2 linked regions of the Neodiprion lecontei genome follow. The protein of the gene in region 2 binds, or shares a complex with, the protein of the main gene of each other region. Links are inferred from orthologs where the notes say so. Each region holds a gene or a part of one and is shown on either strand. Other genes may lie near its edges.

Evidence for each region.
Region 1: RNA-binding protein spenito (region 2) and N6-adenosine-methyltransferase subunit METTL3 share a complex: the UniProt entries of both Drosophila melanogaster proteins name them as parts of the WMM complex. The link is inferred for Neodiprion lecontei from reciprocal best matches to the Drosophila melanogaster genes nito and Mettl3.

The regions. Positions count from the first base shown.
Region 1 is NC_060264.1:30,606,683-30,622,613, forward strand, and holds N6-adenosine-methyltransferase subunit METTL3, read right to left. Parts: upstream 7,475-15,931; 5' UTR 7,279-7,474; exon of another isoform or gene 7,126-7,278; 5' UTR 7,052-7,125; coding exon 6,910-7,051; intron 6,836-6,909; coding exon 6,643-6,835; intron 6,561-6,642; coding exon 6,030-6,560; intron 5,591-6,029; coding exon 4,798-5,590; 3' UTR 3,856-4,797; downstream 1-3,855. Other genes in the region: neuroepithelial cell-transforming gene 1 protein, read left to right, coding at 652-717, 843-1,090, 1,310-1,673, 1,909-2,337, 2,419-2,925; prolyl 3-hydroxylase 1, read right to left, coding at 7,974-8,060, 8,161-8,297, 8,388-8,513, 8,635-8,959, 9,118-9,373, 9,794-10,134; microtubule-associated serine/threonine-protein kinase 3, read right to left, coding at 15,705-15,931. UniProt on the Drosophila melanogaster protein: Catalytic component of the WMM complex, a complex that mediates N6-methyladenosine (m6A) methylation of mRNAs, a modification that plays a role in the efficiency of mRNA splicing and is required for sex determination.
Region 2 is NC_060260.1:35,829,425-35,846,792, forward strand, and holds RNA-binding protein spenito, read left to right. Parts: upstream 1-6,949; 5' UTR 6,950-7,325; coding exon 7,326-7,450; intron 7,451-7,978; coding exon 7,979-10,166; 3' UTR 10,167-11,807; downstream 11,808-17,368. Other genes in the region: lysozyme, read right to left, coding at 976-1,115, 1,299-1,362, 1,455-1,546, 1,780-1,912; tubulin beta chain, read right to left, coding at 3,598-3,760, 3,842-4,155, 4,279-4,451, 4,577-4,794, 4,896-5,014, 5,088-5,396, 5,620-5,676; ubiA prenyltransferase domain-containing protein 1 homolog, read left to right, coding at 15,223-16,221. UniProt on the Drosophila melanogaster protein: RNA-binding protein that acts as an associated component of the WMM complex, a complex that mediates N6-methyladenosine (m6A) methylation of mRNAs. M6a modification plays a role in the efficiency of mRNA splicing and is required for sex determination.

The sequences.
Region 1 (15,931 bases), on a different chromosome or scaffold from region 2:
AAATGCAATAGATTTTACAATCTTACCGTCGTAAAGTCCTTTCAACAACACGTCTTTTTGATTATCATCACGGGCGAAAATCTAACGCTATCGTAAATATATAATTAGATGTTTGCTAGAACAAATTCGTGAACACGACTGATTAAGGGCGGAAATAATTGAAGGCAGAGAAAACAAAATGAGTTTAATGCTTGGCGTGTAATGTTTCATTGTTTTCGCAATCGCTGCACTCGTTCGCTTTCAATGCTCGAATTTCGAAATCTCGATACTACTCCGTCTATGTTATTTTCACAGACCGTGGACTCGTGTCCAATTTTCATCGTCGATGAAAACTCTGCTTTACGACTTTGAGCGACACAACACAAATCTGCTTGTTACCGTGACATATTCGAATTCACATCATAAATGGCGTCTGACGATTTGTGTCAATGACCGCCGAACGATGTGTCTTATCCTAAATTGTCTCGACCTATCATAAAAAATAATTAAAAACACATTACCTACTCGGAACTTAATTAGTTCTAGTTAAAAACAACAGCCATCCGTTGGATATCAGTTTACCGCCAACCGAAAGTTAGGTTATTTTAACTAATCATTATCCGACCGAATTCTTGCTACTCGAATTTCCCTCAGTGAGTTGGCGGCAGTGAGATGGAAGAGGATCGCGATACGTCAATTAAAGATCACTTTCCAGAACCTCAGAAGAGATTTTGGATGGTAACGTATTCGTTATAGTTTTTGCTGTTCTGAATCGCTTCTCCAAAATCAGCTCATCAACTCTTCTACGTCGTACTCACTCACACCTGAAAGTATCCACCCTAATGTCAATCGTACCATTCCAGCGATCTAGGAAGCGTAGAAATAGCGATGCGGCCAGTGTCAGTTCGATGGATATATCAATGGGGTCTGATAGTATCAAGAAGAAAAAAAGACGCAGAATTACCGAAGTCGCATCGAGCTTCTTTTCCTCTTCCTCCTCATCTCTGACACCCAGCAAATTTGGAAGTGTTCTTCAAAGATCGTTCAGCTCTCAAGTAACCGATCTTTCTCTCCTTGGAGAGGAGGTTGATTCGGGAAAGACAAAAAAAAGGTAAGGAACTCGAGAATGTGTCACAGAGTTTAAATTCACATGAATCCAATGTAATTTTAAAACACGATTAATGAAACTTTTGTATTTGCCTTGAAGCTTTGATTCTTTAAACTTTGGTTTTTGATATCTGAAAATAATCCATCACTGATATCAAACACAAAAGATGTCCGTCTTCTAATTTTGTTTCTCACATATATGACCGTCCGGGTTTACGCACAGATCAAAAGTAACCGCGGAGCGACTGGATCAGCTGGCCATCCGTAGCTGGATTGTGGATATTGCGGAAGGGAAATCCAGCGGGCACCTGGATTTGAGCTTGAGTAGAAGAGAAGTGAAACGTCAAGAGGCGATCTATGAATTATTCTGCGGGGAGGATGTGTTGTTGCGGGACCTTGATAATCTCAGAGAATTCTATTACGAGCCTTTGCTACGAAGCGATATCCTGACTCCAGGTGAACTCGCCACACTATTTGGAGACATTTCCAGCCTTGTAGACCTCCACAAAAAGCTTAGAGACGAACTGGTCTGTCTTCGAGACGAGTCGGGTTTCACGGATGCTGTTGGAACCATTTTAATCAGCTGGGTTCGTTCTTATTGCACACCAAATTGTTTGGCTCTTAATTTAAGAATATAAAAATTGGTATAATAGTCTTGATATGATTCAAAAACGATACGTATAGTGAATCAAGCATTTTCTCATAAGATATTCTCCAGGGTCTTATGCAAGAAAATCAGAATCTACAGATTTCGAATTCAATTTCACACAAAGTTGGTGCAACCATTTATTTACACTTACTTCATTCTTTCTCTTATTTTAGTTACCAAGTCTCGCCGAGCGCTACGTAGATCGTTGCAAGGCGCAGGTGTGGGCGAGACACTTGCTTGAGGCAAAACGCGCAAATAATAAACGTTTCCAAGAATTTCTGAAGAAAAGAACAAGTGTTCCACGGGCCGTTGACTTGTGGACATACTTGGACGTTCCGAGATCAAGGGTCGTCAAGTATCCTATCCTTGTTAATGAAATCCTCAGGCACACCCCGTGCAATCATCCTGATCAGACAGCGCTGAGAAAAGTGAGTGATATACTGTCCAAGTTACTTATAGAAATCGACGAAGCCATGGGAAATTCGGAGTGCAAGCTAGCCCAGAATAAAATCAACCCCTCGCCAGTTTGCGATCCTCATAAAGTCATACAAAATGCTGTGGAAGTCATTACCGAGGGGCAGTTGAGAGATGCTAAAGGAACGGTGCGCTCAATTGAGTTAATTTTCTTTCTTTAATTCCCTTAGCACGCTGATGTTCTAACCGAAAGTAATTTTGTTTTGCAGAAACTGCATTGCTTCTTGTTTGATAACTGCTTTGTACTGGCTCGTCCAGCGAGGAGACCAGGCAGAAAGTGTAACCCATGTTTCCCTGTCGTATTACGAGATCAGTTAAGGGTACAGTTTGAAATCGAGGCGGGTGAAAAAATTCATACTACCTCATTCAAGGTTGCAGAACACACGCTTAATGCTGACGATGAGCATGCAAAACGGCATTGGATTGAGTCTTTTCGTAGGCTAAATACTATTTCTACAAATGGAAAAAGAAATCACGATGGAAATATTATTGTAACTGAGGAAAAGAACAAAAAAAGGAAAGAAAAAGAGAATCGAAATGAAAATGAGAATGAGAATGAGGACGTGGATAAAATGAGTGAAATCAGCGAAAAGTCCCCGATAACGAAAAGTACAAGGAAACTGAAGTCTGTCGGAGATTTGTGCAGCAGTCATTTTCCGATTTCTCTTAGAAAAAGCCTTCTCAGGGATAAAAGAAACAGCATCAGCCTAGTGTGAAGAGTACTATGATTTATTCATATATAACTACTATATTCATATACATCCATTGCGTTAAGAAATTATACATATTTTTTTAGTCGCATGGTTTCACAGTCATTTTTGTAATTAACGTATCACGGATGATCTGGTGTTTCATTTTCCGGCAACTAAAAAAAAACAAATTAAATCCATTCACAGTGCTATCGTTGTCGGCGTTAATACCTATGAAAAAATGATTACGTAAGGAAATTTCAATCGATTGAGACGATAAAACAAATGCGGTTATCCGAATGGAGTCCAAATGTGTGATATTTAATAACCACGGATAATAACTAGCGCTGAATTGAATATATTTTTCAAAATTCATCCCTTTTAAATATATATTGCGTATTCGGATGTAACAACTACGCGAATCGCTCGGTTTGATAAATTGCGATTAGTAATTAATTCGAAGCCATAAATTGGTAAACCAGGACTAAGTGTGATCGATGCTTGAGAGAAATTGCAAAAAAATTTAAATTTTTCATTTTCTGACAAGTATCTATTTTATAATACAACGATTTTTTTTTTGATTTTTCTCTCATATTTTTTAACGTTATGGCCATCCATTATTTTTATCCGGATTTCAGAGTTTTAATATTAGGTTCAAATATTTTGACTTTTTGAGTTTTTATCCATTCATTTTTATACTTTTTATCTTATGCGACATCTGGTCATAGCAAATTTGTAATTTTCAATCACATCCTGGCCAGCTTCAAGAAACTGCTAACAGAATTCACGGTGTACTATCAATTTTGTGTTCTCTATGCCGCGTAACTTTTTTTGAACTCATATATTGCATAGACAATACAAATAATCGAAAGACAATGCAAATTAATTCATTTTGTGATAAATAATGCGCATTCATTTTTGATATAATTGGATCAGTCATACTTTTTTATGATCCAACTAATGTAAATATATATATTCCTGCATTTATACATAGAGAACTTCGGACAAACGCGGTGTTTTATGATATTAGGTTACGACTCGTGAAGCGTAGGTTTTATTTTCTTATACTTTCTCTTTAGTTAATAATTATTTTTAAATTCGACGAGAGATCTTTTAGGCGACGATAAGACGCACGTTTTACTCAACACCAGCAAAGTTTGCAGGGTGTTTTAATGCTGATGATCCGAATTCGCTGAATTACTTCGGAATCTTCTCCAAGAATAAAAAACAAAGAAAGCTACTTTTCATTTAGTGAAAATTAAATTTGAACCTTTCATTCGTTTGTGTGAAAAATCTGTCAATTTATTTAAATATTTACTTTAAGAATCACATCAATCAGAAAGGGAGATCACGTGGCTTATTCTATAATTCTGCATTTTCAAAACTGCAATTATAGAATAAAGCTGTAAATGTTTCTTGTTCTTTTCTATCCATTGGAACTTTCAGAGATAATCTGCAGCTGTGGCATATCCTTGGTATTTAGACACTCTGTCTCTTTTCCAATATTGTTTCAGATCAGTAATTTATCAACTTTGTTGTAAATAGATATTGCTATTGCTAATTTGGGAACAACTATTATAATAATGATTTATATATTTAAAGAAAAAGTGACACAAAAAAGCAAGTACAAATATCGTACCTACTGTATCGTTGTAGTGGCATTGATTAAAAAATAGAACAAATGAATATTTTTAGTATTTTTTTTATTAAAAATTTTTTCTGTTTGCTCAATTCCAGCACGTCTGAATTTTTGAAATCACCATTTTGAAACTTAAAAATCACAAAATATTTGGTCAAGTTGTAATTCCTATCTTATTGTTAATAATCCGTCCGCTGTCAAGATTCTCAAGGTTGCGATGTTGAAAATTTTGTTCTAAATATACAGAATATTAAATATCGCTAAGATTTACTCGGCTTCATCGAATTTCCATCGGGATAGCGTTTCTTAAAAGCTTTAATCAGTTGCGGGTCAATTAATCGCACACCGTCGACCTGATTTCCCAGAGTAATCCAGTTCGGTTGAACGTTGTGCGGTCTTCCGAATAACTCGATCTTTCTGGTTCCCGGGCTCATTCTTTCTATAATCCCATAAATTTCGTCGGGTTTATGACTCGTCGCCCTCACTTCGGCCACGATGACATCACTGTCCAGACCTCTGTTTACCCTGGGAAATCCCTTCATACCAACCAGACAGTGCTCTTTCCCATGATTGAGCCAGTGACCGGTTCTCCCAGTTCTTATAATGCGCTGAAGTTGATTAGTCTTCACCCAAATAATCTCGTCCACTCTGTCGTAGCCCCATAACTGGAGGCATTCTCTGCCTAATTCCATGGCTCGTCCGGTCACCCAAAGAAATAGGAGACCCTCATCTTGCAGGGTAGGGATTCCGAGTTGCCGCATTTCGTCATCCGACATTGTCCCGTAGGGAAGCTCCATATGGATATCCCAAGGAGGGTCCGCCATTATGACTGCGAACTTTCCCAGCACTGTCATATCCAGATATCTCAGGTCGCACTGGATCCACTGAGGAGGATACAGTGTCAGGTCCGATGCTCCCGTTGAGCCATTATTATTGCTCACTGGTTTTGGATCTAGAGCAGTTGTTCTGGAAGTATTTCCACAAGTCGTTGTGTCTGCTTCGCCCTGATCTTTAGGTTGCGCAGTGGGACCGTCAACTTCATAGTGAACGTACCTTGAAAACAGATGATTTAAAAAGTTTTGGTTTCTGTATTCTGGAATATTGTTAGAATTATTTCGAAATTTCGAAAGCCCATTATTTTGTACTTAAAGAATATTTTCAAAGGTACGTGATGACCAATATTTAAGTGTTTTGTGAGCAACTTTGAAGATAGTAATTTAGTTTAGAAGTACTTTGTGATACGCAATGAAATCCAGTGAACTAATCTCTACTGATTTTACCCAACTTCAATTCGGTTTCTAAATCATTAAATTTATCGACTCGATCATTAGTTTTCCGAGTTTGGTAAACCTGAAACATGCACAAGAGAAAACAAAAAAAAAATGAAAACAAATAGAGCTGAACTTATCTAAACTTATCAACGAATTTCACAGGAATCTATCACCATTGATGAATCTATAAAACGGGGAAAAGAAATAAAGTCAATTATTACTTGCAAGTGTCCATGTGGAAGCAAGTATTCAAAAAGCTACAGTCTCCCAAGCTTTCATCAGTATGACTTTGAAGGATTTTCTTGAAATGCAATTTCTTGCACTTCTCATTGAACGCTTGCCCAGACCCTGGCTGACTGTTGCCATTGAGCTTGGAGCAATCTGTACGAGTACCATGTGGACAAAATTCCATAACTTGGGCACCACCCTGAGACCTAAAACGTTCGGCCAATGACTTCTCCTTCGATGTTTGTTTTGACAAAAGGTCCAGTATCTGTTCCCCGACTTTTTTACTCTCCTTTTCTCTTATTGTAGGCATAGATATCAGTGACATGATGTCCTCAGTATTCTTCTTATCGAGCTTTGTCTGTTTTTCGGGTGGACTTTCCTCCTCGATTGCGGCAGGCAGTGAAACCCCCAGTTTTTCCTCTTCAACGATGTTTTCAGTATGTAACAACTCTGCCTGGGAATTCGATTCCGCAATAGACAGAATTGTATATCCGACGACATCGTTCTCTGTAATTTCCTTGATCCTGCGGATGAAATGTCTTAAAATATTGCGAGATTACGTGCTTTGTTTATTCGCATAAAAAACTTTTCTCATTAAGTAAATACCTGATAATGTCTTGTGCAGATAATTTTTCCAAGAGCTTGTTGATATCTGAAAATGATATGTCAATGCTGAGAGCTTTTCTGAGTTGATCTGTGAGATCAGTCGATGTGATTGGTAAGCTGGAGATACACTGATGCAAAATTCGCAAGACATCTTGTTCGTATTCAACCGGTTCAGATTTGTTATTAGTCGTGTCTGAAATTGAAATTAGAGGCTTGAAACAGAAATACGAGACTGAAAGTAATGGAAACAACAAATTAAACAGCTACCAATCACAGATGATTCTGTAGCTGGTGGGGTCGAAGTGAGAGTGAATAATTCGTGTCTCTCTCGTTTACGTTTTTGCAATTTTTCTCTTAGACTGTTCCTCTTTATCTTTATCGCCTGAATTTCCTCAAATGCATCAGACATCTTTCATCTCTTTTTCTTTCCTTATCACATACGAAGGTTATGATTTCGAACAACAACAACTAAGCCTCGATTTCCTAGGAAAAATAAAGTAAAAAAAAAAAATATTACCGAAACTTTTACTGGCTCATAAATATACGAAAATGTAGGAACGAGAAAATCGGATGCGGTATTTTTAGGTTAGGTATAGGTTATGTTTATTTGCGAAGTTGTAATTGGCTATCTATTACGCATTGTAGGAAACTAGGAATCAACTTTCGCAGTGTATCAAAAGTTTGGTATCGCCGTAAATGTATTTTGTAATATTTCTCGAATAAATCTTATTATCAACTGAATTGCTTGTGAATTTTTTCCCGGGAGTATAAATATTCAAGCGGGTGAACTCGGCGTTGCCAGCTTCACTTGGGATGCAAAATGTCTGATCGATATCCGTGGATAGAAAACTTTTGAAAGTAAAAAATTTATTCGTGGTTAAAGAAAATTCGACAATTTTATGGGATTACTTGGATTTTCAAATGTGCGACGGATTCGGCAAAATCTGATCAGGATTTGTAAAATTAAAATAAAATAGATCGATTTGCGTGTAAGTGAAAAACGGTTTAATTCGAAAATTATAAAATTCCGAATCAGAAGAAATAGTTTGTTTCAAAGTAAAATTAATTACTTATAGTTTTTCTCGGGTTTGTGATTTCCACTATTTGATTCAATCCGAAATTCCTAATAATCATGTAATCAGTTTCAATTCTACAATTAAAAGACAGGTGATTTGCGCTCTGAGCTTGAAGAAGCTTAATTATTTACGTATATTTATTAATGCATGTAAACGAATGTATGCATAAAATTAATTGTAAAAAAGTAAACTGCATTTTGTTCGGTTCAGTTTTTTGCAGAATTAAATTGTTCTTGGACGTGCGTTTTGTTCAGTTCAATTTTTTGCAGAATTAAATTGTTCTTGTATGTAGAGCAGAATGCGCAGTTCGTATTCCTGCCTCTTGAAGTACGACTCGGCTTCCTGCGAAAAAAAGAAATAAAAGTTCGCAAATCAATTTATTTGATCCTTAGTTATTCTCAAAGACCGTGCGTTCCTGACTCTAATAATGATAATTAATTACCTCGCGTGGCTTGAAGTATTCTTCTTTGACTTCCGGTAGTTCCATAAAATATCTCTTGTTTCTCAAAACGGTCTCATCGGTCGGTATGAAAAGCAAAAAGCTTTCAACCGCGGCACACGCTTCTTTAAATTTACCAACTAAAACGGTTTTTAAACAAGCAATTTAAACTATGAGCAATCCACAATGGAAACACAAGTCTATAAGGGAAACTATTTCCTAGATCTTACTTTTGAAATATGCGTACTGCAAATAATGATAGTGAGATATGAGCAAGTCGTGGCGCTGTTCCCCGTTGAGTTTATTTAATGCGTAGGAACAGCTGCGCTTGCATTTTAGTCCGAAAGCAAAGTGATCTAGAAAATAAAATTGGGTTTACATAACGTTTAAATTCTATAAGACAAGAATTTCCAAAGTTTCAAATGTAATTCGCGAATTGCCAATCCGTATTAGGAATGAAAATTCGGATTAACTCACTCGCAATGGACATGGTAAAGTCTGGAAGCCATCCCTGGTCGAATGGACCTTCGCAATACAATCTGCAATCCTCTTCAGCTTTCATGTAAGCCTTAAGAGAATTTTCAAGCTGCTCAATAACCTCCGGATAATTTTCTTCGTAATACGCTATAACTCCATCTTTGTACATTGCTTGGAATGGGTCACTTTCCAAATCTACTATATCCTCTTGAACGACTTCGGGAAGATCTATGTAGAACTGCATGTTCCTCAAGGTTTGATTGTCCGTCGGGTGAATGGTCAAAAACGTGAAAATGGCATTCGCCGCATCCTGGTACCGCTTCGTCTATAACGCGCGTAAAAAAACAAACATATTATCTGTGATGCGACACGAGATATAATGAAATGACATGGTGGGATTTCGTTTCGGCACCAAAGTTTTTTTTCCAACAATTCTCATATTTGAAATCCGTTTTTACTTCATCAGCAGTAAATTGTACATACCTTGTAATAGCAAATGTGCAGAAACTCGTAGGCCTTACGTTCAATGTACTTCCTCTCCACATGAACGGGCAACTGTCTATCATTGTCTTTATTCCTCACGATCTTCTTGCATTTCATCAAACACAACGTTTCCCTGACTTTTCTTTCGAAGAAGTGCATATCTTCTATGTCGTACGGAAATATTGGTTCAACATCGTTAACTTCCGCTCGGCACTGTCTTCGGCAATCAGCAACCGTCTTTTTGTGCATTTTGTAGCTGCGGCGCACCATGTATTGCATTAATAAACATCGATAATTACCTACTAACTTATAATTAACTAAAAGCCCATTGCAGATCCGTACACGAATATTTACAAATACTTATTATGGAAAATGCTACCGCTAACGCGAACTTTTTAGTAGAGCTCATCGAGACCTTTTAAATTCTTGAACCCAACTTTCGTCTATCTGTCAAAGTTTAGTCAGCGTTCGCATAAGTGTGCGATCCTGTTCCAACTTAGCTTACAAACATCGTTGTATCTTAAAACCCGACCAGACGTTGTAGCTATCCACAGAAATAAAAATGATCAAAAACGGTTCGGTAGTTCTCGAATTATAAGGGAACATACTTGCAGCCAGACAAAGAGACGTTGGGTTTTATGTTATATTGTGTAGACAAGATAAAACTGTGTTGAACCTGTTAAGGGCTTTGTGGAAGTCGTCGATGCACCCTTGCCAGTCATCGTTCAGATACGACTCGACACCCGTTTCGAAAAGATTATCAAGCTTATTTGGATCCTCCTCGGTTTTACTCCCATTTACCGGTCTGTCAGTGTCCTGCTTACCGGCAACATGCGCCGATTCTGTAGCGATCTTTTCGGAGGGAAGATCCTGGAGAATCTCATCCTGAACCACGGAAACGGTTTCCTGACCGTCTACGTCATTGCTCAGCTCGTCTGATGCTGCAGACGTGGCGATTGCAACGGTGAAGAAAATCGTGATCAGGGCGAAAACAACGTATTGATCAAAAGCCCGCATAACGAGAATATGTAGCTCGTCAAGATCGACTAAAAACTGAGAATGATCTCGGCACTATTTGATCTTTGAACCCTGATTGCGATAAAGAACCCACACTGAAAACGAGATTGAAGTTAGTGACGTTATGGTATCGAAACATTGGGGGCAATCACTACACTAAGATTTTGAATTATGAGTGTGTTTTGTTTTGTTACAGTTTACTAAATTTCAAACAATTCCAAACTTGCTTAATAACGGTTTTTCCTCAGCATGAATCGTTACGATAACGTTACTAACTTCAATATGATCACTGAAAGCCGTCGACGCTATGCGATCATCTCTGACGCTTCGTGGTCACCGCACATATACAAATGCTGCCGTTTCTTCAGTCGTGTGTGGGCGAAATGTAGTTTCAGCCCACAAGCAGCATATACGCCATGACTTTACAATATATCGCGTCAGAGGACGAGATGAGAAATGTTCTCAACTCCGCATACTTGTGAGCTAAATCAGTTGTAAGAGATACGCGAACGCTACGGAGATAAACCCGGTGTAGCGTTCTTCACGCATTGTCAGATTACGTAATTACCGTCTGCAGAAAAATGATTACTACCAAGAAAAAATGTATTCAGGATTTCCGCGCATATTCGAACTAAATTCTATCTTGTTGCAAGAACAATAAAATTGTCCCAAAAGTATTAAAAGACTCGGCAAGTTCACATTACAACAAAATGTTTGAAAAATCTCAACAAACCGTCGTCTTGTTGATTTTCATCGGTTCAATTGAATTCTATACTATTCCTTTTTTTTCCATCAACTTTCGGTTTGATATAATTTCTTGTCTTTTCAAAAATTCATCGCGGGGACTTGGAACCATTTTGAAAAAACATTTTGCAATATTTACAAAATGATATCGAACTTGTTTTTTAAATCTTCACAAAAATATTTCGAAATTAATAATTAAAATTGCAAAATGACCAGCAAATGCCTAAGGCATTCATAATAATGCGATTGTAAATATTAGTGCAGGGTGTAACTGTATCAGAGGTCTGTGGGAGCACTGAAAATATCTGGCATACACGTTTACGCTCTAAGTAATACTTTATTTAAAAGAATTATTTTGCATATCATCTTTGAAAGTTAGTATTTAACGTACCAACGCTTATTTAATTCTGACTATACGTTGTGGTCTTTGACGCGGTTCACAACGATCAATCCAATATAATTTGATAGAAAAAAAAATGAACAATTATTATGCAGCTTAGCTTCACGCATATCAACAATAATGCTAATAATTATAATGATAGTAATAATAAGTTGTGTAATCAATATGAATTTCCACCCCATGATATTTTATCCCTCCCTTTTATTTCCTTGTCAAAATTTCATACCATTCAATTGTTTACACGTCACAACCGGATTTTCTTAAACAATTTTTTGCATCACAAAAGCGGACGAGTAACTCGTCCTGCCTACACACGTACCTACAGAGAATTAAAGTAAAATATCGTTTTTCCAATAGAAAGCAACAACGAACATATATTACACATATTATTATACACATGAGACCTAGGGATTGATTGATTTCTTTATCAATTAATAAAAAGTCCCAATTCTTTCAATTAAGAATCGAAAAATCATTCTAGTTTCTCGATTAATTCAATCGATAGTTTTTATAAAAACCATTTTACTCGATGGATTGATTTAGTCAAATGTTCGAATTAGGTGAAATTTCGTTAATCAAACAACCGATCGATCAATCAATCGGAAATTTTTCCAAATACTGATTAGCCGAAAATCGGTAATCCATTTTTCGTTTGATCGATTGATCGTAGCATCCAGGTATCCATCAAATGCATACAACGTATACGTATATTATACTTCTATAATCGCACGTCTGTAGGATGCAGGAGCTCTGATCAAGGCAATTTTGTGTTACAATTTTTTTTTTCTTCTCACTTAAAAATATAATGGAAATCACACCAAAATTGAAACTAGGTATGCTTAGTATACTATTAGTACATTACTATAAATATAACAACGAGAAATATCGATCTACAACTATTATTATACGACGGAATACCTTAATAAGTAATTATAGTAAATCAGAAGAAAGAAGAAAAAAAAAAGAACTAAACAAAGCACACGTATAACGTCAGTTAATACTTTAGCCTCCAAGTATAATTATTCAATATAATTCGAATTATCGAAACAAACTAATTGCATGTGTGACAATAACTACATGTATACTATGTATACAGTATATGACTATTTTCAATCTAATTAACTATTAGCGAACGTGTTAAGCCGTACATTTCATGTAGAATTTTATTATAAATACGCTATTATATAGGTATACAGATCGTCCCCGTGCCTAACAAAATCAACGGTAATAAGAATAGTAGTTAAATCTGTAAAAAGAGGAAAATCAAAACAAACTATCGAATGTGGAAGAAATAAAATCACCGCAGGATTTCTACCCTTTTCCAATTATATGATAGCATAGATGAGGAAACCCTTCTTTTCCACGTTAAAAAGAAGAAAAGGTCGTTTTTTTTTTTTTTTATTATTTTTTTTTTATTTTCATTTATTCAATTTTCACACCGACAACAGAAAAGAAAATCTACTAATCATCACGATAAATCGGTCAACGACAGGAAAAGAAAATCTGCACTGCCTAAATTAACTATCCAACGATTTTCACAATCGGAATATGAATAATACTGAAACGCGTAGGTGGATTATAACAAATTAGATAAAAAAAAGTGCAGAATTGGTGGGTTATAACGGATAACCGGTTTAATTATTCTAAAGCGAGTTAGCTTCAAAAATTACAGTCACAAACGGCGCGGAATTACATTTTCCCTTTTGTTTCTGTTATGCCCTTCAAGTGTCATTATTTCTTTATTTTTTATTTTATTTTATTTTTTTTTATTTTTTTTATTTTTCATTTTTTCAATGCGTTTTTTAAAACTCCGACGCCCACTTACACAAGCGTGCACTTGATCGTTGAAAAAATGGCGATTGATATGTAATTTCATATATATGTATACAGAGATTATAATCAATTTATATAGTGAAAGTTTTTCCTGCACATATTACGTTAGGACAGAACGACCTAAAAAATGTTGTTAAATATATAGTGAGTGAACGTAACCGGAATTATTTGAAAATGTGAACATTGATTATGATCATGTAAAGACTTGTTATTTTTGATCGAATGTTTTTTTTTTTTTTTTTTAATATAGTTTATTCTAATCTTAATTAATTCGCTTTTTACGTTGTTTTTTTTTTCTTTCATCAGTATTATATTCAAGTTCTCGACGAGCGATTATTATTATTATTATTATTATTAGTATACGTAATCTGATGAAACGTGTTCAAAGTTAAATATTAACCAGTTATTTATCAACATATACAGAGCGTAAAATTGTATATTAATAATTTTTAATACGTAGAGCTAAGGAACACCGCGGATTATAAATTTACGGCTGAAGCAGCCTCGAACGATTTCACGTGTCGTGTATTTGTTATTATATTTATTATAATACATATAGCACGTGCATGTGTTTGTATAATAGTTGTAAATATATTTGTGTATATTTGTATACGTTATAAAATCGATACCGCACTAGTGCGGTCTATGGTAATTATTTTTCAGAGAGATGAAAAAGAGAAAAATAAGAAAGAAAAATACACAAATCTAAAATCGCCATAATGAAAATCTCATCATTTCAAAATCTATTCTCTAACTACGATGTAAACCTCTCTACAATGTCTCTCAAACTACGACTTGCAACAATTGTATACTCGAAAACTGAGGCAGTTTTTATTCTTTTTATTTAAGCACGTGTAATGTGAACCTATTACCGTATTGTTCCTAGTATAAGACTACCACAAATTTTTAGACAATATTTCAGAATGTTTTTCTCAGTTACCTGCACGTAAGACGAGGACAATTTTGGCGGGTTCTGTCAACGACAAAAAACCTCGGCTTATATTCGGAACAATATACGATATATACGCGATACATCGTGAAAGTAGTTCTAACGTATAGCGAAATATTTAATTTTCCGATTACAGAAACCTCCACTGGTTATTTTTGATTATGTTTCAATGTTATTATACGCGTTATTACGATTATTATTTTTTGTAAGTTGTTTGTTCTATCACACGTAACAAAGTACAATGAGAGTAGGGATTACTTAACGATATTCTGAGGAGAAAAGAGAATAAGCTGCGTACGACTCTTAAACGATAAATCTATTTCGTATACATGAACCTGCGTGAATTGAAAGGGGACAAAGAAAAGTCTAGTACAAAGTTACATCCTTACGCGGATGTATCCACACTTAGGTTCGGTCTGAATCCAAGTAATTTATCTTGATCGATTTTTAATAAAGTGATCTGAATAAGTGTCACGATAATTTTTTTTGCACCGTTGCTGTTCCATTTTCGCTTCTTATTTTTATTTTCATATGTTATTATTAATATAATTATTATTTTGTTTTTTCTAAACGCTTTGAGCTTACGAAACTATGTAAAATCGTAGTTAATCATACATCGACGAAATGGACGAAAAACGATAACCATGCTAACTATACAGAAAATATTTCGAACACGATTAAATATTTTTTATTCTTTGCTTTTCCGTGTTTTGTTCGTCAAGTTTCAGATATTTTTTTTTTTTTTTTTAAATTTTTTTTTTTTATTCGAACGAATTATTCCAACTTCCTAATAGACTCGAGTGTTTTTACTCCTTCGTTGATCAATTTGTTATGTGCAAACGGACTAAAGAGAGATTAAAAGAGACAGGTAACAATAAAGAGATGGCGTGAAAGAATTTGATTGTGTAACACATGAGGTGTAAACATTCGAATTTCTATACTAACTGGTTGTTTTTGCTTTTTTGTATCTCGATCTCACATATTAAAACTGGTAAATTGTTTGAACTGAATTTTCAGTTGTGTTTCTTCAATTTACGTATAAAAAAAAAAAAATTGGCGAACTGAGCATAAAAATCATCTTAGCAGGCTGTCTAATTCGATCTTCGTATGGACTGATGTTATTAAAGTGACGGTAACAAATTGATTAAAAAAAAAAAAAAAAAATCGCAATCATTTCACTGCGGAAATGAATTTCAAGCCTAAAGCTAAATGCGAAAACTGTTAAACTGATTGATTATGCGAGTAAATATTACTATTCGAATTCGAAATAGCCATTTGTCGTTATCAAACGTGCGTAATTATTAACACACAGCCGGACCAACGTGTGTTTTCAGTCTCAATTTATCCCCGAATTTGTTCAATCTACGTAAGGAAACACAAATAACGAGGAAAAAAAATTGCAGTTATCAGCTTCAAAATGTTCGGTAATTTCACCGATATGTGGAAAATTCACAGGTAAACCTTGGGAGTACCTTGGGGATAATAATTCGTTGAAAAACATTCGACGTTACAATCAAGAGGTCCTTATACCAATCGATGAACAAACCGTAAATTTTACTACCTCAAGCAATGTGCTATCGATGGGAAAAAAGGGAAAAAATATAGATCGATCAAATCGGTGGTAAAGTTCGTCGAAACTCTGGTCTAATTATTTTTCTTGTCACCAGTAGTGTTTTTTTCCTGGCTCGAGCTGCCAGTGTCAGGATCGACTTTGTATCTCTTCAAAATCTTCTTGCCTTCCATGCTCGAGTCATTCGAATTTTTATCCGACATCTTGAGGTCGAAGACACTCGCTTTCCTCTGCATAAGCGTGGACATTTGCTTAAGGGGTAACGGCTCGGGAGGTTTTGCTTGCTTGGGAGGATCTTTTT
Region 2 (17,368 bases):
CCGGAATTATTAAAAATAATCCTATGTTTCTCGGAAACGCTTTTATGACACGGTTTCACGGTAATACGTTCGTCAGTACCAACATTGTATATGAATATACTTGAGAAAAGTATAGACGCACCTTTTGTATCGATTATATAGGGTGTCTAATTAAAATTTTTTCTTATATATAATGCTAAAGGAATTATAATATGAAATCTTAAGTAGACAATCTATCAAATTTACTTTGCTCCTATATCATATGATGTTGGTAATATATATGGTGAAATATTGAAACAATATACATACACGTATACAGATAGATCTGACAAGTATATATATATATTCAACACGTGTAAAGTTAAGAGTTAATAAAGTCATTTTAGGGTATAAAAATATTTTTGCATTATTTCCAAAATCCTGTTAATATTATATGTATTGGACTTCTGGATACGGTAAATATTATTTTTACAATTAGTATTATTAGTAACAGAAAAAGGATCGTTAAATCTCTTACGCAAATATATTATATTTCACAGATTAATTATAGATACATAAAACTATACTGACGTATTTACTTATTTCATTTTATTAATAATCTTAACATAAGTTACAAAATATTGATGTATAATTATAGAATTATTTTGATAGAACCTTAATGCAAAATATTATATTTCCGATCGGTCAATTGAGTATTTGAATGAAATTTTTTTGTCATATTTTAGGGGTGCATAATGCAGTGCAAGCCAAAATAACGAGGACGTATTTTTTGTTTTTCGTTAAAAATGATAATTTTTCATGTTATAGGTGATTGAATTTCACTGATTTTAATATATATATATAGATATATATTAGCATGGGTGACGTCACAATGTTATAGTTTTCAATCTGTTATATTAATGGCAATTTTGATTCAATCGAAAAAATAAAAAATACGTCCAAAATATTTTTTTCCGATCTACAAGAATATGAAGTAAAAAAATTTCATTCAAATACTCAATTGAAACAGTAATGAACATCCGGAATAACTTTGTTCAAACAGCCATTCTTCCAGCCATTCCACGCGTAGAATTTATGTCTTCTATAAATCTTTTTAGCGCATCGTACGTCATCGGTTATATCGTCGTCGAGTAAATCTGTGTTTGTACAACAATTTATCAGTGCGGATGAATGTGGATCAGAATAATATCAGGAATCCTGAATAGTTGGCACAATGGATGAATGAAACGTGCATAAATTTTCAAATTAGAACATCGAAACTGCAAAATTTGTTTCGGTACTACTTTCAATCTTAAACAATGCATGCAGTTATACCTCACCTTCGCATTTTATGTTGCAATCACTCCCTGCGACACCCAATGAACACCAAATGTTTCCGTTAATCTGTAATTTTATGAAAAAGAGAAAGATTTTAACTATTTGGCCAATTTCGACAAACTTTGCGGCGTAATTCGTCAACTTTTTTATATTTTTACTTGAAATAATCCGTAGTCGTAGCTGCCATTACGATTCGGCCCGCCAATAGCTGACGTATTTCTCGCGCTTTCCTTTTCCACCAAGCAAACCCCTGTTTAATTGATGTTAATTGTTAATAACCAGATCGCCATGTGATTTTGTTATTATTATACACAACATGGATTTTCCTTTAGCCATGGCAACTTTTTGGTACCACATACTTTTCATCGGAAATTTTCGTTAACTAACTGTTATATTATGTATAAAATACTAAGGATAGAGATGAATACGTGATAGAAATACGCGTTAAATGCCGTTACGTAATTAAACGGCAGTCATACTCACAATCATTCATTTTTCCACGATCTAAGCCTTGTCTGTCTAATTCCAATGCTAATCCACACCGCGTAAATGTTTTTCCTGTACAGTGAGAGACAGTGACGAGAAGTAGAGCCAATACAACGAATAAAGCTTTCATGATGTCCAAGCTTACTCGGGCAACTGATTTCAAATAAAAACGGGATGAAAATTTAGTATATGTATTTTAATCCGATGTCGGATGCTGTTACGGTCAATACTGACCCACGCGATGATAATTCAACAGCTTATTTTAAACTGAGATAATATTCCATTGCCCTGTTGCTATTTATGCCTGCGTACTTACTATATGCGCGAAGATAAGCCAAGATTGAAAATTAAGATTAACGAGATTGTCGTAAGTGGCGAATAAAAAAACTGAATTTTGATTCAGACGGTCCGACTGATTAACCCGCGGCACATACAAATGTTGCTGAAATGCCTCGATTTATCATTCATGCATTTATACGCAAAAATTCGATTACAGTTTATGTTTATTGGTACTTCCCCCAGCCCATTAATCTAACTGTAATTCCCCGTCTTGATATTGAAGTCCTTGACCGAAAGAATCTGTGCAGGGTCACAGATAGCGTAAAGCTAAAAGTCTTCAAAATGATATCCACAAAATATCTTATGATTTGTTTTTCAACGTCTAAAAGCCGTGAAAAACAATTTTTATATATAATCGTAGATTGTGTACCAAGGAGGTAAAGTATAACAACGTCTCTTTACGCCGAGCGCAAGTTTGCAATATGAGTCGCAGGCAAATACGGCAGGAATATTGCAAATACGCGAGACGAAAAAGACGTTGCCTCCATGGTGCAGTCGATACTTTATGTATCAAAAGTGTGGTTTACAAATATTTTATTATAGCCTAGCACAAAAAAGAGCACTGGAACGATCACTTGACGTTCGGAACGCAGGCAAAGACGCGTAAACCATATATACTGTGTTACATAAAGATGATTTTTCGATGTGCATTTCGTATTTGCATTTTAGAAAAAATCTATACCTATGTGTTTTCTTCTTGCTGAATGGATTTGAACACACATGATTTTTTCAATATTCACCTTCGTGGCAAGCATATTTCTATTTTTGTCAATTTACAAAGACTTGGTGCATTCAGCATTAAAATTAAATTCTGATATGTGAGAAACAATGATAGAGTTTATGTTTACCTGTAACGTAGCAGCTTCCATAACACTTTCGTTTCCGAACAATCACTTGTGCCGAAGGAAATCGTGGTGATCATTGATACACTTATTGATTGATTATTGGGAAAACGCTACAAAAGTTAATATAAACCATGATGTATATACACGTGTCACATTTATTCGTAGCATCGTGAATTATACACTCACATTTCATTTCATCACACTAAAACCTAACATACTGATTTTGCGAGAAACAATTGACAAATCATTGTTTCTTTTAACATTTTGTAAGTATGTGTAATGCAAGTGCAGTACTAATCTCTGAGAAACACTTTCAGAATCAGCTCACACGCGAGCTTTCAATCTGAAATCGATATGGGAATTTAGAAATTGAGAGGAGATGAGAGCAAAAATGGTTAATCGTCTCTTGGTGAACCAAAAATAGGAGCTTTTGACGTTTTATTGTTAAACAATCGACACTTTTTCATGCAACAGAGAAATCGTATTCAAAATATGAACAATACGAGTACGACTACAATACATCACCATCAGTGGCATATACAGGTATGTGTTTATATTTGCACCGCAAAATAAAGACAATAAGTAATCAAAATTTAACAAAAATTACATATCAATTTCACGCAGGATGAAACTAGTCTTCATTGAATTCTACATCCCCTTCAACCTCTTCGTCGTCCACGAACGCTGACTCGTCTGCAGAGACTTCTTGGTACTGCTGATACTCCGAAACCATGTCATTCATATTTGATTCTGCTTCTGTAAACTCCATCTCGTCCATACCTTCTCCGGTGTACCTGGAATGATGAAAATCAGTCGTATAAAATCATTGCTGGGACGATGCAGGCATGCGGTTGCTACGTGCGCTATAAACTCACCAATGTAAAAACGCTTTTCGTCGGAACATGGAAGTGAACTGTTCAGATATGCGTTTGAAGAGTTCCTGAATCGCAGTGGTGTTCCCGAGAAAAGTACCCGACATCTTCATGCCACAAGGCGGTATGTCGCAGACGGCTGTTTTTATATTATTCGGAATCCAATCGACGAAATACGAGCTGTTCTTATTCTGTATATTTGTCATTTGTTGATCGACTTCCTTCATCGACATTCTTCCACGGAAGATAGCCGCCACTGTAAGATATCTACCGTGGCGAGGATCGCAAGCTGCCATCATGTTCTTCGCGTCGAACATCTTTCATGTGATCGTAAAATGTATCGAAGGTTGAGTATAGTAAAATTGTAAACATTTATAGCTGGCTGCATCCTTGATTAGCATTGTATGATTTGCCTATGATTCAAATGGAGATCTCCTCACCTGCTGCGTTAACTCAGGCACGGAGAGAGCTTGGTATTGTTGACTGTTTCGCGCAACCAACGGAGCAAATCCTGGAACGAAGAAGTGCAGCCTGGGAAACGGTACCATGTTAACAGCCAGCTTTCGAAGATCAGCATTCAACTGTCCCGGAAATCTCAGACTGGTGGTAATTCCTACAAACATGTGCAAATCTTTGTATTGTACATATCGAACGATGGTTCTAAAGACACAGTGAACCCCATTATTCGTCAATGCTGTAATTATTGTACCCTCAGCTGCCACAATATATCTTACGCACCAGACATCGTTAGGGACACAAGGTGGTTCAGGTCACAGTAGGTGGGCGACGGTAATTTCAGCGTCCTGAAGCAAATATCGTACAGTGCTTCGTTATCAATGCAGAATGTTTCATCCGTATTTTCAACGAGCTGGTGAACGGATAAAGTGGCATTGTATGGCTCGACTACGGTGTCCGACACTTTTGGACTTGGTACTACGCTGAAGGACGTCATGATCCTGTTGAACAAAGTGCCGTAAAATTGTGTCTAAAAATATCAATGTCCGCAGCGGTATATTTGACGAGAAAATTCGATCATTTTTAGATACGTATAACATACCTGTCGGGAAAGTCTTCGCGGACCTTCGACATTATGAGGGTCCCCATTCCGGACCCGGTTCCTCCCCCCAAGGAATGACACAGTTGAAAGCCTTGAAGGCTGTCGCATCCTTCAGCTTCCTGCATATCAAGGTAATTTTCTGTATTACGATCATCACCCGCTGGACTATTGTTCGGACAATAATTTTCCTACCTTTCTTAGGACGTCTAGAACCGAGTCAACCAGCTCCGCCCCTTCTGTGTAGTGACCCTTAGCCCAGTTGTTACCGGCACCACTTTGCCCGAAGACAAAGTTGTCTGGCCGAAAAATTTTACCAAATTCACCCGACCGCACTGAGTCCATGGTTCCAGGTTCCAGGTCGACTTGAATCGACCTGGGAACATATGTGCTTTTTGCAGCTTCGTTGTAGTACACACTAATCCTATCCAATTGATCTCTCGCGTTACCAACATACTTTCCTGTCTGATCTATTCCGTGCTCGTTCGAAATCATGTGCCAAAACTACACAAAGTTTGGAAAAAAGTAAAAATAATGTATATGCTGCATATATCTCAAAAGTCTCATCACCTTTTTTTGGAATCTTACCGAGGTGCGAATCTTATATGTAACGCGTATCAGCCATTTTGTCCTACGAAATTTGATCTGAGACTAAATTTTTCGCACGATCCTTATATAATTCATCTTATCAAAATAGTAAAAAACCCTTAGAATTAGAGAGACTTACTCGTGCACCGATTTGATTGCCACACTGGCCCACCTGGACGTGAACAATTTCTCTCATCTTGATTCAATTTGGCGATGATACTTCGAATGACTTTCGTTATCAACTGATGCCAGACTGAATTGAAACCGTCACGAAAGTTGATTTTTTGCCACTGCAAGACGCCTGCTGTCATTATTGGTCACTTACCTCTCGTATACCTAATACAGGGCCGTCTAATAATTATTTCGATCAACGTGAATAGGGTTCCTCATAATTGTTACGTGACTCAAATTTTCAATCAATTGCTCAATGTTGTACATCGCATTGCTTTAAATTTTTAGGCTTGAATCAAAAGAATTTGTCTATCCGATAATTCTTTGTTCATCGGGAAGAACGGGACAAAATACCCAGAGCCTAGAAACGTATAATAGGCCGTCCCTGTAGCGTCGATTATATCTGCTCGAAAGGTCATCGTTATTGAAACCAATCAAAACATTGGGCAGTGAGCAGAATTGGGTAATACCATAATACACCTATAGGTATGTAGATACACAAAACTATGAACGCTACCACTGTAATATCAGATATAAAAGGTCTTGTTACCGAGTAGTTGGTGTTATTTCTCTAGGGCCATGAATTTTCAAATAATTCTGTATTCGTACAGATCTGAATGTTCGATTCAAACTTCAGGCACCTATGAGATGTGTGGATAATTTTTTCTTTTTTTTTTCTTTTGGTTTGAACGAGTTACATAGTCACACGTTATACGATCGGCGATTCAAAAAGCCTCCCAAAAATAGGGGCATTTCTTGCGAGTATGAGGATACGGTAAAGTATCATTTGTCCCTCGGTTCAGAAAAATTCGTGCGAACCCCAAACTGGGCAATTGTTCAGTTATTTCTAAATGACATTTTTTTGCAGGTGCTGTAATAATTCTGAAGTAAGTAAGCACATTGGGCTCATCTTCATCCAAGTAATGATTCTTCATTTATTTTCAACTGAAGCAGTACCGTAGTCTTATTTTTGAAAATGCGTGGTAGCGCCGAAAACGCCTGGGTACTTCTGTAGGCTGCAACCAGTCTAACAGGTATTTACCAAGGATTCATTTAATGTTAGTCAATGCTAATTGTAATTCTACCTTACCGACATCTTAACAATTCCGTAGAAGATCGTTCATCCGCAGACTTAGATTTTCAAATGGTATCATGGTGATAAAATTACCCATTACCAAAAACATTTTAGATCATAAACTTTTAGAATTCATAAAATGGTATCGAATTGTTACCGATGCAGTACAACTATACTCCTTAGTAATCTTACGCCAGCAAGGCCAGTAACCAGTAAGGCGTCGGCCGACGAACGGCTACGCGTTGACAAGTAGATCAGAATTATTAGCGATATTTACAAAGATTGTTAAAGCAACAAAGAGCGGGAAATAAAATTTCAAGTTTTAAAATAGTCATGAAAAAATAATTAAGCGTTAACGTGTCACGCTTATATCTAAAAACATAGCGTAAACAAACGGAAGCGGCAAGTAGCGGTGCTCCAAACTAGCCGACATTCATTGTGCCGTCGCTAAAGGGGGGAGAGGAAGACGCGACAAGGCACGGTCAGGAGACGAATGATCACCGCCATTTTGCTGTGCGTCTGTTGAGTGGAGTGCGTTTAGTTGACGCGGATAATTTTATTAATTATTTGTCAGTTATTTACGGTTTTCTGCAGCGTTGATGATTGGGATTCCGCGCGACGACCGCCACAAAATAACGGTTAAAATCCGAAATAATATGAAACGGAGCTCGAGTCGGGACACTCCACCGCCCCGTGTCAAGCGATCCAGATCCTCCATGGGAAGGTATGCCAAATGCTGTTCCACCTCAGGGTATCATAAATTCCAAACTCTTTTTACACTCTTCGTCAGTTGCTACGTTTTACTGAATTTCAATTCGGTCCGACGACCCTAGTTTACTTCTTACGCACGACGAAGTCGCTGGTTTGCCTGTTTTTAAATTCTTAGTATCGAGCTTCTACCCAATATGATTCGCAACTATCCCTGGAATCAACACTTCTGTTCATTGCTCTGAAATCCTTACCAACATTTTATTGCCCTAATCTCACGGTAATGTGGCATAAATCCGGTATTTACTGCTTGTTGACCACAGTATTTATGGTCAATATAACCTCCACTTGCGGTCTGCTGATGTGAAGCATCGGTTTTTTTTTCTTAGACGAGTAAGAGTATAATCTCATGCGCTGTTTTCAACCTCGTATGAATTCCCGATATGTGATTAGTTTCGTAATTTTTTGATAATTAAAATATTCTCGTTCTTTCTAAACTATTTTTCTTTACTTGTTTGACAAGAAATGTTGCCCATTTTTTCAGATACGATGATTCGAGCGATGAGAGGATTACACCGGAACGAATCAGACGGCGCTCTAGAGGGGCTCGGAGTCCGAGTCCTCCCAGAGCATCCTCTCATGCCAGATACGTTGAGTCCAGTTCTCACAGGGACGAGTATATGCGAGCACCCAGAGAGATACCGCCTGAGCGTCCGTACAGCTACAAGGTCCTCTGCGTGAGTTCGATACATCCAAAAGCAAGCGACGAAGTAATAAAAGATACCCTTTACCGGGAGTATAAGAAATTTGGTGACTTTTCCATACGAATCTCTCATGAATTGGACGAGCGAGTTGCTTATGTTTGCTTCAGAAGTTCCGAGGATGCGAGAGACGCGAAACATGCAAAACCAAGAATTATTTTATACGACAAGCTTGCCTTGGTTGAACCTGTTTATGAAAGACCCGAATCTTACCGACGACCCAGATCCATCACTCCCCCAGATTACGAACGTTACTATGCCAGGTCACCTGGGCCCACAGAGAGGCACAGACCGATTGAACGATACGAACGAGTTTACGGACCACCAGTTGGAGTTCCACCTCACAGGGAGCTCAGAAGAGAAACAATTCCACCTCCTCATCACGAATTTGTTCGTCCACCACTACACCATGGACCACCACATGTTCACCCTGGTCCTCCGCATCATTATGGACCACCCAGACACATGATGATTCGTCATCCTGTTCACGGTTTTGAGAGAATTGAAAATAAGAAAGACAAGTTTCCAAACTATTTGCATCATGTTTCACCTGAGGATGATCCACTGGCGACTCGAACCTTGTTTGCCGGTAATTTGGAGATAAATATTACCGAGGAAGAGCTGAGAAGAATCTTTAGCAAGTATGGAATCGTCGATGACATCGATATCAAGAGACCCCCACCGGGTACTGGAAATGCTTATGCCTTTGTCAGGTTCCAGACTTTGGATATGGCACATAGATGCAAAGTTGAATTATCTGGCCAGTACATTGGTAAATTTCAGTGTAAAATTGGGTATGGTAAAGCTACCCCAACGACTCGTATCTGGGTTGGCGGTTTGGGGCCATGGACATCCGTGCCTCAGCTGGAGAGAGAGTTTGATCGTTTTGGGGCAATTAAAAAGATTGATTACATCAAGGGAGATAGCAATGCATACATTTTATATGATTCCATCGACGCAGCCCAAGCTGCTGTGAAAGAAATGAGAGGATTTCCGCTTGGGGGACCAGATAGGAGACTGAGGGTTGATTTTGCTGATGTTACTCCCGGGTTTGGGTTCAAACCTAGACCGTACCCAGAAGACGCAGCTGAGTTTCGACCAAGACCAGTGGAATATGAATCTCCGTACGATCCTTATGCTCCTGAAGGTGAATTTGCTTATGCTCCAAGGGGATTCAGGGGTCGTGGAAGTGCCCCATGGCACGATAGACGAGGAGGAGGCAGAGGGGGATACCGTGGAACTGCTTATCCTGAGGGATATGTGAGAGAAGAATCTGATTGGCCAAGCCGCCGGCCACCACCTGAGCTCGAATATGAATCACCAAGGGGCTTGAGGCGCTCATTGTCTCGGGAACCAGGTGTAGATCGATCCAGATCACGTTCTCCGCGGAGAAGACCTGTGGATTCAGATTCCGATTCTGAAACAGCTAGAACAGGGATGCTGTCTACGTCACGAACTCTTCCTGAAGTTGCACGAAAGTCTATAGCGGTTTGGCAAGGCGCTTTGATATTAAAAAATTCTTTATTTCCAGCTAAATTTCACCTTACAGATGGAGATACAGAGATAATTGATGCGCTGATGAAGGATGAAGATGGGAAACATATGCTGAGAATAACGCAGCGTCTTCGTTTAGACCAACCAAAATTAGATGACGTTTCTAAACGCATACAAACATCCAGTTCACATGCTATATTTTTAGGTCTTGCCGGATCTAGCGCTACCATCACGAACGATGACGCAAACGTGCAAACTCGACCTCTAAGAAACTTAGTGTCATATCTCAAGCAGAAAGAAGCTGCGGGAGTAATATCTCTGTTGAATAAAGACACAGAAGGAACCGGAGTCTTGTATGCCTTCCCGCCGTGCGCCTTTTCGACCGAACTTTTGAAAAGAACTTGTCCCAGCCTTAGCGAGGAGGGTTTGAAAGAGGATCACTTAGTTATCGTTGTGGTGAAAGGCGGCAGTGCCTAAGTTACGCTTACTCATAAGGTTTATTAAAGGTAAACGTGCTGAATACTACAATACTATTACATTACTCGGTCAAAAATTTGGCTGATTTCCTCAATTTCTGGTTGAATTTTAAGGAAAGTAACTAATTACGATTAACGTACAGATGGTCTATACACAGAGTATTTAGCAGATCAGTGTTTCTAGATTGTCTCAAATTAATCACACTATATTACATCTGATTGTGCACATCTTTTTTTTTTTCCCCGAAACAAAGCTCTTGCAGAATTATTTGATTTTAATTATTCAACTAATGAGTAACAAAATCTGGAACTTGTATAGCTTCATTTTTCAGAAGCCCAAAATTTATCGGTTCATTTTTAGAATCAGCCAAATTGTAAAAATTGACGAAACCACGTCCAAGGGGGTATGCAATAGCCAAATACCAGGACATAATAATATGTTGATATCAAGTGACTGCTGTGGTCAGAAGAATTGAAAGTTCTGACAAGGCTGTTAGAAGAAGTACATGTATTAAGCATGGAAATAATAACTTATGGTTACGAAATGTTAGATATAGCTTCACGAGGTAAGCGCTCTGATAACAAAACAGTACATTGAAAAGTTGCAAAGTTCTTCCGAAGATTGATTTAAAAATGGAATACTTATTTTTATGAAGATGAAACATTATTTTAGTAATGTTCTGCATAACTTTTTTTTTCTCTTAATCCGAGTCATAAACGTTGGACCGTTATGGCATATGATATAATGGTGAATCATAATCTATTACATAACTTAATTGTAGTGAACCTATTCTAATTAGTATACATACTCAGTTAATTATCATGTACACAGTTCTTTCACATTTGTGATTGTACGAATTTTGCTGCAGTGCATAAACGTCTTAGGATTTATATATACACGCGTATATATAAATATAAATATATACATATACTTATGAAGGGATGCAAATTACATTAATTGATGAAAATTTTTTAAAGTAAGGTGTCTGCAAACTGAGAAATAATGGCAAAAGTATTTCTTACCTCACGCATTAATATACTTTTTTCTTTATCGCGATTTCTGTAAATAATGATCATTGTTATTCTTATACAAAATGCGAAAGGACTGGTCAACAACTAACTACTAGTTTATTGTTAAATTTACAGAATATCAAACGGTCACATCGTATAATGAAAATATTAAATTCAGTTAATTTACTTTTATATGATTTAGATTTTAGATGCATAAGATTTAAGTGTTTGTGCTATAAATTATCTGTGAAAATGATATTGAATTTCGTTAACATGGACAGTGATTGAGTGGCCGTGGGGAAAAATGAACAGCAAAATCTCTTCTAAAACCCTAAAAAAAAACTTCGTCTAATGCCGCGAGAATCATTGGCAACATGTTAAGAAATCTGTGAACTTTACCATAAAGGACTGTGTTTGGTGGTATTAAAAAAAGAAACTACAGAAATCTCCAATTGTGTACAGTGATGTAAAACAGTGCTTGTGTTCTCGCCTCCGAGGGTGTTATCATGAAGGTATGAAAATAACATCGATCTTGAAATCGAACCCTCAGAACATCTGAGATATGAGAAAGTCCAAATCGCACTCGGAGGCGAACTAAGGTGCGGTGGTAAAGTGTATCTGGTGTTGAAAAGAAAAGAAATGAAATGAAAAAATAGAGCCGATTGCAGACAAAACTATTGATTGTGTTTAATTTCTTAGATATGTCAAAAAAAAATATGCCCACCCATCAAGTTCAAGTTGAAATGAGTTTAGTTCAATTAGTGGTTGAAAATTATCAATAGCTGAGTTACGTCTGTGATTGTTTGTTCATAAACAAAAAATCAAGTTTGCGAAAGAAAGAAAGAAGGAAATGGAAGTTTCGAGTTATGCTAGGATATTCAAAGTTTTAAAACAGAGTTCGCCAAAATTAACAAACTATTCGGTTGATAAAACAATGCATGCTTGTGCTTAGAGAAGAACATAGTTGTTCTTTGGTCGTTTTTTTATCTCCATTTTTTTCTGTCGGCTTTTCTTTGATTTTAGTTCAGTGGTCGTGAAGTTGGTGTTGTGGTTTGTTATTCGACAATGTTTTAATACGCTGATCGATCTCAATCTCATGACAGATGGAAAAAGAAAATACGAGTTTTGTCAAAAACAAAAAGAAACTAATGATCTCAGTGTAACCAGTGGCTTGTGCCAGTTTATTTCTTGTTCTAAACAAAGTAGTTGCGAAATATTGGTTCTGAGTCATCATATTGCAAATCCAGAGAGATAATTGTGCTTTAGTGATCATGTGGCTTGTGATTAATTTGTCTAAGTTTTTGTTTATTTTTTTTTTTCCATCATTTACATTAAAATAAAAAAGTTTCTATTGGTAAAGAAGAAAATATTATAAACTGGCTTTTCGAAGATCGTTGCTAATTTCATAGTTTTGGAACTCTGGGTGCTAAGTTCTCCAAGTAAAAAGTTTTCGACACTGCTCTCCAAGTACCCAAGTTATCAATATAGTGAAAGAAATCATATTGTTTAAAATTTACGCTTTCTTCCTTACTCATCTTTGAGGAAAATGAAACTGTAAAAAGGAAAGACTAAAGGAGAGAGAAAAAGATTGACTATTGTTAGTTCGTCGTATTGACACGATTGTTGTTAAGGCTGGAAGTTCAGTGCACAACTTCCTCAAAATAAAACGAAAGTCCAGAAAATTTGCATGTTGCACTAGTGAAGTGAGTTTAGTGGTTCTCTAGTTCAATAGCAAGTTGGTGAGGTGTTCTCTTTTTCAGATTTTTGACCGCTTTCCAGGTATTCTGGCCTTAATATCTTTCAGAGGCAGAAATCATCGCATGATTTTCAATTCCACATAAAAATAAAAAAAAATAAGATTGAAGTGAGACCAGAAATTTTAATAGTGCTGGATCGTAGAAGTATTATGGTTTTTGCCTCTCAGAGATACTTAAGGATCTTGTTCCTCAACCACATACTGATCGTAGCTTAATAATGGTTCAGCCAGATTTTTTGGATTGTACGGTAAGTTGGGTCGCCGGGAGATATTTTTTTATGTTCCAGATTTCTAAACAATGCTGCCAAATCCAGCGGACTTAGATGTCATCAGAAGCTTTTAATGAATGCTCGAACTACAAATGAAGATTGATGTTGTATGATCTACAATCTTTGCATAAATAAAGCATTTTTTGATGTACATAAACAAAAATACCCACTAATCCTGTTATCGTTATTCAGAAAAAGCTAACATAAAAGGACGCACCTACAAGTTTAACATGTTTACACTATCAGCTATACTATGATTGTAAACATTTCTTATAATAGTTCAGCGATTTTTTACACTCATGACGCAAACCCATTTCTCGAGTTTCTGTTTTTAATTCTGTACAAAGATCTGAAATAGAAACGTGATTTTTTATATACAAACATAAAAGTGTGAAAGAACGTGTTCAATTGTTCAATTTTCGGTAACTAATGTTCTGTGCTGTCATAGAATATGCCATCAAATCGGTTGTAAAAATCGACGGTACCGAACGTTCTATTTGGCTCGTAGAAAAAAAAATGAATACGTTCACATCTAACGGAAATTGACAATTTGAACAATCGTTCGATGTGTCGAATTTCGCTGATAGTTTTTTTTGCTTGAAAATCCTGCGTCATGATTAAATAAATGTGATTGCGCGATTATTTACAATGACTTACCAAAATGACGATTTTTTCCCGAAATTTAGATTTTTGGAATTTTGCATGATTTTATACCTTTAGTACCGACTGATGTCAGTCGTTGATTGGAGAATATATGTCAGTCCTCCGTGAAAGCCGTTACTACAGGCAAAGTCGTCGGTACTCTGCATTAAAGTCGACTAAACGTATCGTTGACTGAAGAATTATCATCGCCGATACTCGTCACATCAAGGCGTGTTTCACTGAGAAAATAATGACACCATGATTAAAATATTTCATGATTAGTTACGTTTTCTAAGATTTCATATAATTTCGTTTTCTCATGACTACCAATCATTACAAAGTAGAATTTTATTTTAATATTGCTGATTTCAGTGTGATTTCGGAGAGTATGAAATCATTTCGAACGATATTAGTACCATGATTACTTGAGTAGAAGACCCCTTACGTGGCATTGCAAGTTAATCATTGTACAGTTTTGCAAATTGATTTTAATGAGGTGAGACATTTTTTACGTGTTGAATACGAAAAATATAGTAATTTCCATTAAAAATCTCCCGAATAGTGCTGAGTCGTGTTTTAAATATAAAGTCTGACGTCAATCTGCCGATCAACTACCCTTACCGACCGGAAATACGCTTTACGCCGTTCTTTGAGTTTAATTTGTTTGAAAGCACAGGAAACGATGGAGCGTTGGAGGCATCGTTTCATCAGAGCCTAGAAGAGATTTCTCTCTGGAAGAGATCCAAAACCAGAGAACCGAAAATGATTAGTTCGTTATATGGCAGATAGACGGGGTTGCGTGGTAAGCGCTGCAACACGTCACCAGTGTGTTCGAGTCTTGAGACATTGCTTGAATTTTTTTTAAATGTACGCACAGAAATGTCAAACGACTGAAGGATAAATGTGTTCCCATATGTGAATAACAGATCAAATTATACCGATGTATTTTGAAACGGATGTTTAATGCTCGCAGCGGAAGTATGGACATCACTGTAACCTAACTTTTACCGATCTTCAAGTATCACAGGTGAATAGCATTTTCATACATATTTCTATGAAATACTTACTATAGAAATCATTCGCATGATACCTTAACATGAATATTAATCGCATTATGGACGACGTGTAATTTGCATGTGTAGTATATCAAAAGTATAAGTACCGTAAGGAATCATTGGTCATAGCTGATTAAAAGTTCTCTTAAGACAACAATTATTGTCGTAACTTGAAAAATTGAAGAAAATAAACAGTTTTCAACTATTTTATTGGTATAGTCTTCTGGTGATATGTACAAAACGTCTAATTCCAAATAGTATTTTTCACCGATTAACCTGTTGCAAATTTTCCGTTATTATTAGGATACCAGAACGTTGAGCAAAATGTTGATTGGAGTCGAAAATCCCCATGCGGAGATGGATCCAACCCCTCCATCACCCAGCTTCGATGGCGCCAGCTCCACATCATCAACGCTGGATTCTCCTTTAATGAAATTGTCCTCTTACGTCTTGGCCCTTAGGCCATGGTCATTAAGTGCTTCTTTGATGCCAACTCTCCTTGGATCGGCACTTGCCTATCGATTAATAGGATTAACGAGCTTTAATTGGATATCACTTGTACTTACTTTATTCACGATCGTCTCGGTGCACGGGGCAGGTAACGTTGTAAACACATACTTTGACTATGTCAAAGGTGTGGACAGTCGAAAAAGCGACGACCGAATATTGGTCGATCATATTTTATCTAAAGATGAGCTCGTATCTTTGGGTGCAATCTTATATGCCGCAGGGTGCTTAGGCTTTATTTTACTTACTGCCATTTCACCTGCTAAAATGGAGCATCTGGCTCTTGTTTATTTCGGAGGTTTGTCATCCTCGTTTTTGTATACCGGTGGTATCGGCCTGAAATACATAGCTCTAGGTGATGTTTTGATCTTAGTCATATTTGGCCCGATATCCGTTTTATTTGCATTTATGGCACAGACTGGATACGTTGAATGGGGCACAATGTATTATGCCATACCTTTGGCCTTAAACACAGAGGCTATTCTACATAGTAACAATACAAGGGATTTGGAGAGTGACAGACGCGTCGGAATAGTAACTTTAGCAATTTTGATTGGTCACACAGCGTCACACGTTCTGTATGCCTTTTTACTGTTCTCGCCCTACATAACGTTCGTTGTACTTGCATTGAGGTACTCGGTGTGGTTTTTGTTACCGCTGGTCACATTGCCCGCAGCATTTCGAATAGAAAAAGAATTCAGATCTCCAGAAACTATCCAGGGCGTACCAAAGCAAACTGCTAGACTAAATATGTTTCTTGGAATATTGTACGTTGTAGCTTGTCTACTTATCGACCCTCTTCCTTACCTTCGTTGAATGTAACTCAATTATCAGCTAACAGGCACTTGCAAATATTGATACAATATGTGAGGAATGATTGTAAAGCAATGACAGCTTAGATTACCTCCCAAAATGCAATCGAGTTATAAAGTGAATTGAAATGTGTAGAAACAATGTCTCAAGTGATCTTGTCAAGATGCATATGAATGAAAAATCACTCATACATATTGTATTCTATTGTCAGTATTTGAAATGCGGTTGTACTAAAATAAACTGATCATAAACTAATCGACAGCAATGCTTATGAAGTTTAATTGGACTGTCGCTCATGGATATTTAATGATTATTTAATCATTGAATTACAATAGATGGTAAGAGGCAAGGGCTATGTCTTCAAACGATGTTTTCAATACATTTGATATGACTTAACATTTTCACTACTGTAAATAGTATTGTGCGATATTACTGCCTTACTAATCTCTGCCCAAAGTACAAAGGCAAGTAGCACCAACGCCATTACCAAAAAAGTTTTAGTCCAAACCCTTCAGTCTTGACACTATATTACATTGGTTATTTTTTTCAACTATCGTATAGGTATGTAACAATTGCTGCCTGTTTAGAAAAGTAAATGTTGTGTAATTACAGTTTGTTGATACGTGTTATTGAAAATCCAAGATTAGGTTACAACATAGTTGTTGTCGCTTTACCACCGCAGAAGATATGAAAATACTTGCTCGCTATTCTTGTTACGTAAGAAAATTAAATTCTACACAACATTGGCAAGTGAGAATATTAGCATCGAACGTGTGCGTTATATTCAAAGCAAATTGGAACACTGCAATTATGTGGATACCAAACAAAAGAATTGATCATTTTATCTTCTAGAAGCTATGCTTACATTAGGAATAAATTATAAGTCCAAGTTTGTTGTAACCTTAAACTTAATTTTTCGGCATTTCTTGCAGCACATTCAGATCCAATACTGGCATCAATTTTTATTATTTCTTATTGCTGTTATTATTAATATTATCATTGCATAATTATTGTTAATTACATACTTTTTTCCTTCATATAACTAGGGAGAGGCTTGTTATGATTTATTTTACGTTTAAAATTATTTATGCATTATTAATATGTCGCATAGTGTGTGTGCGTGTGTGTATGTATGTACGTATATGTGTGC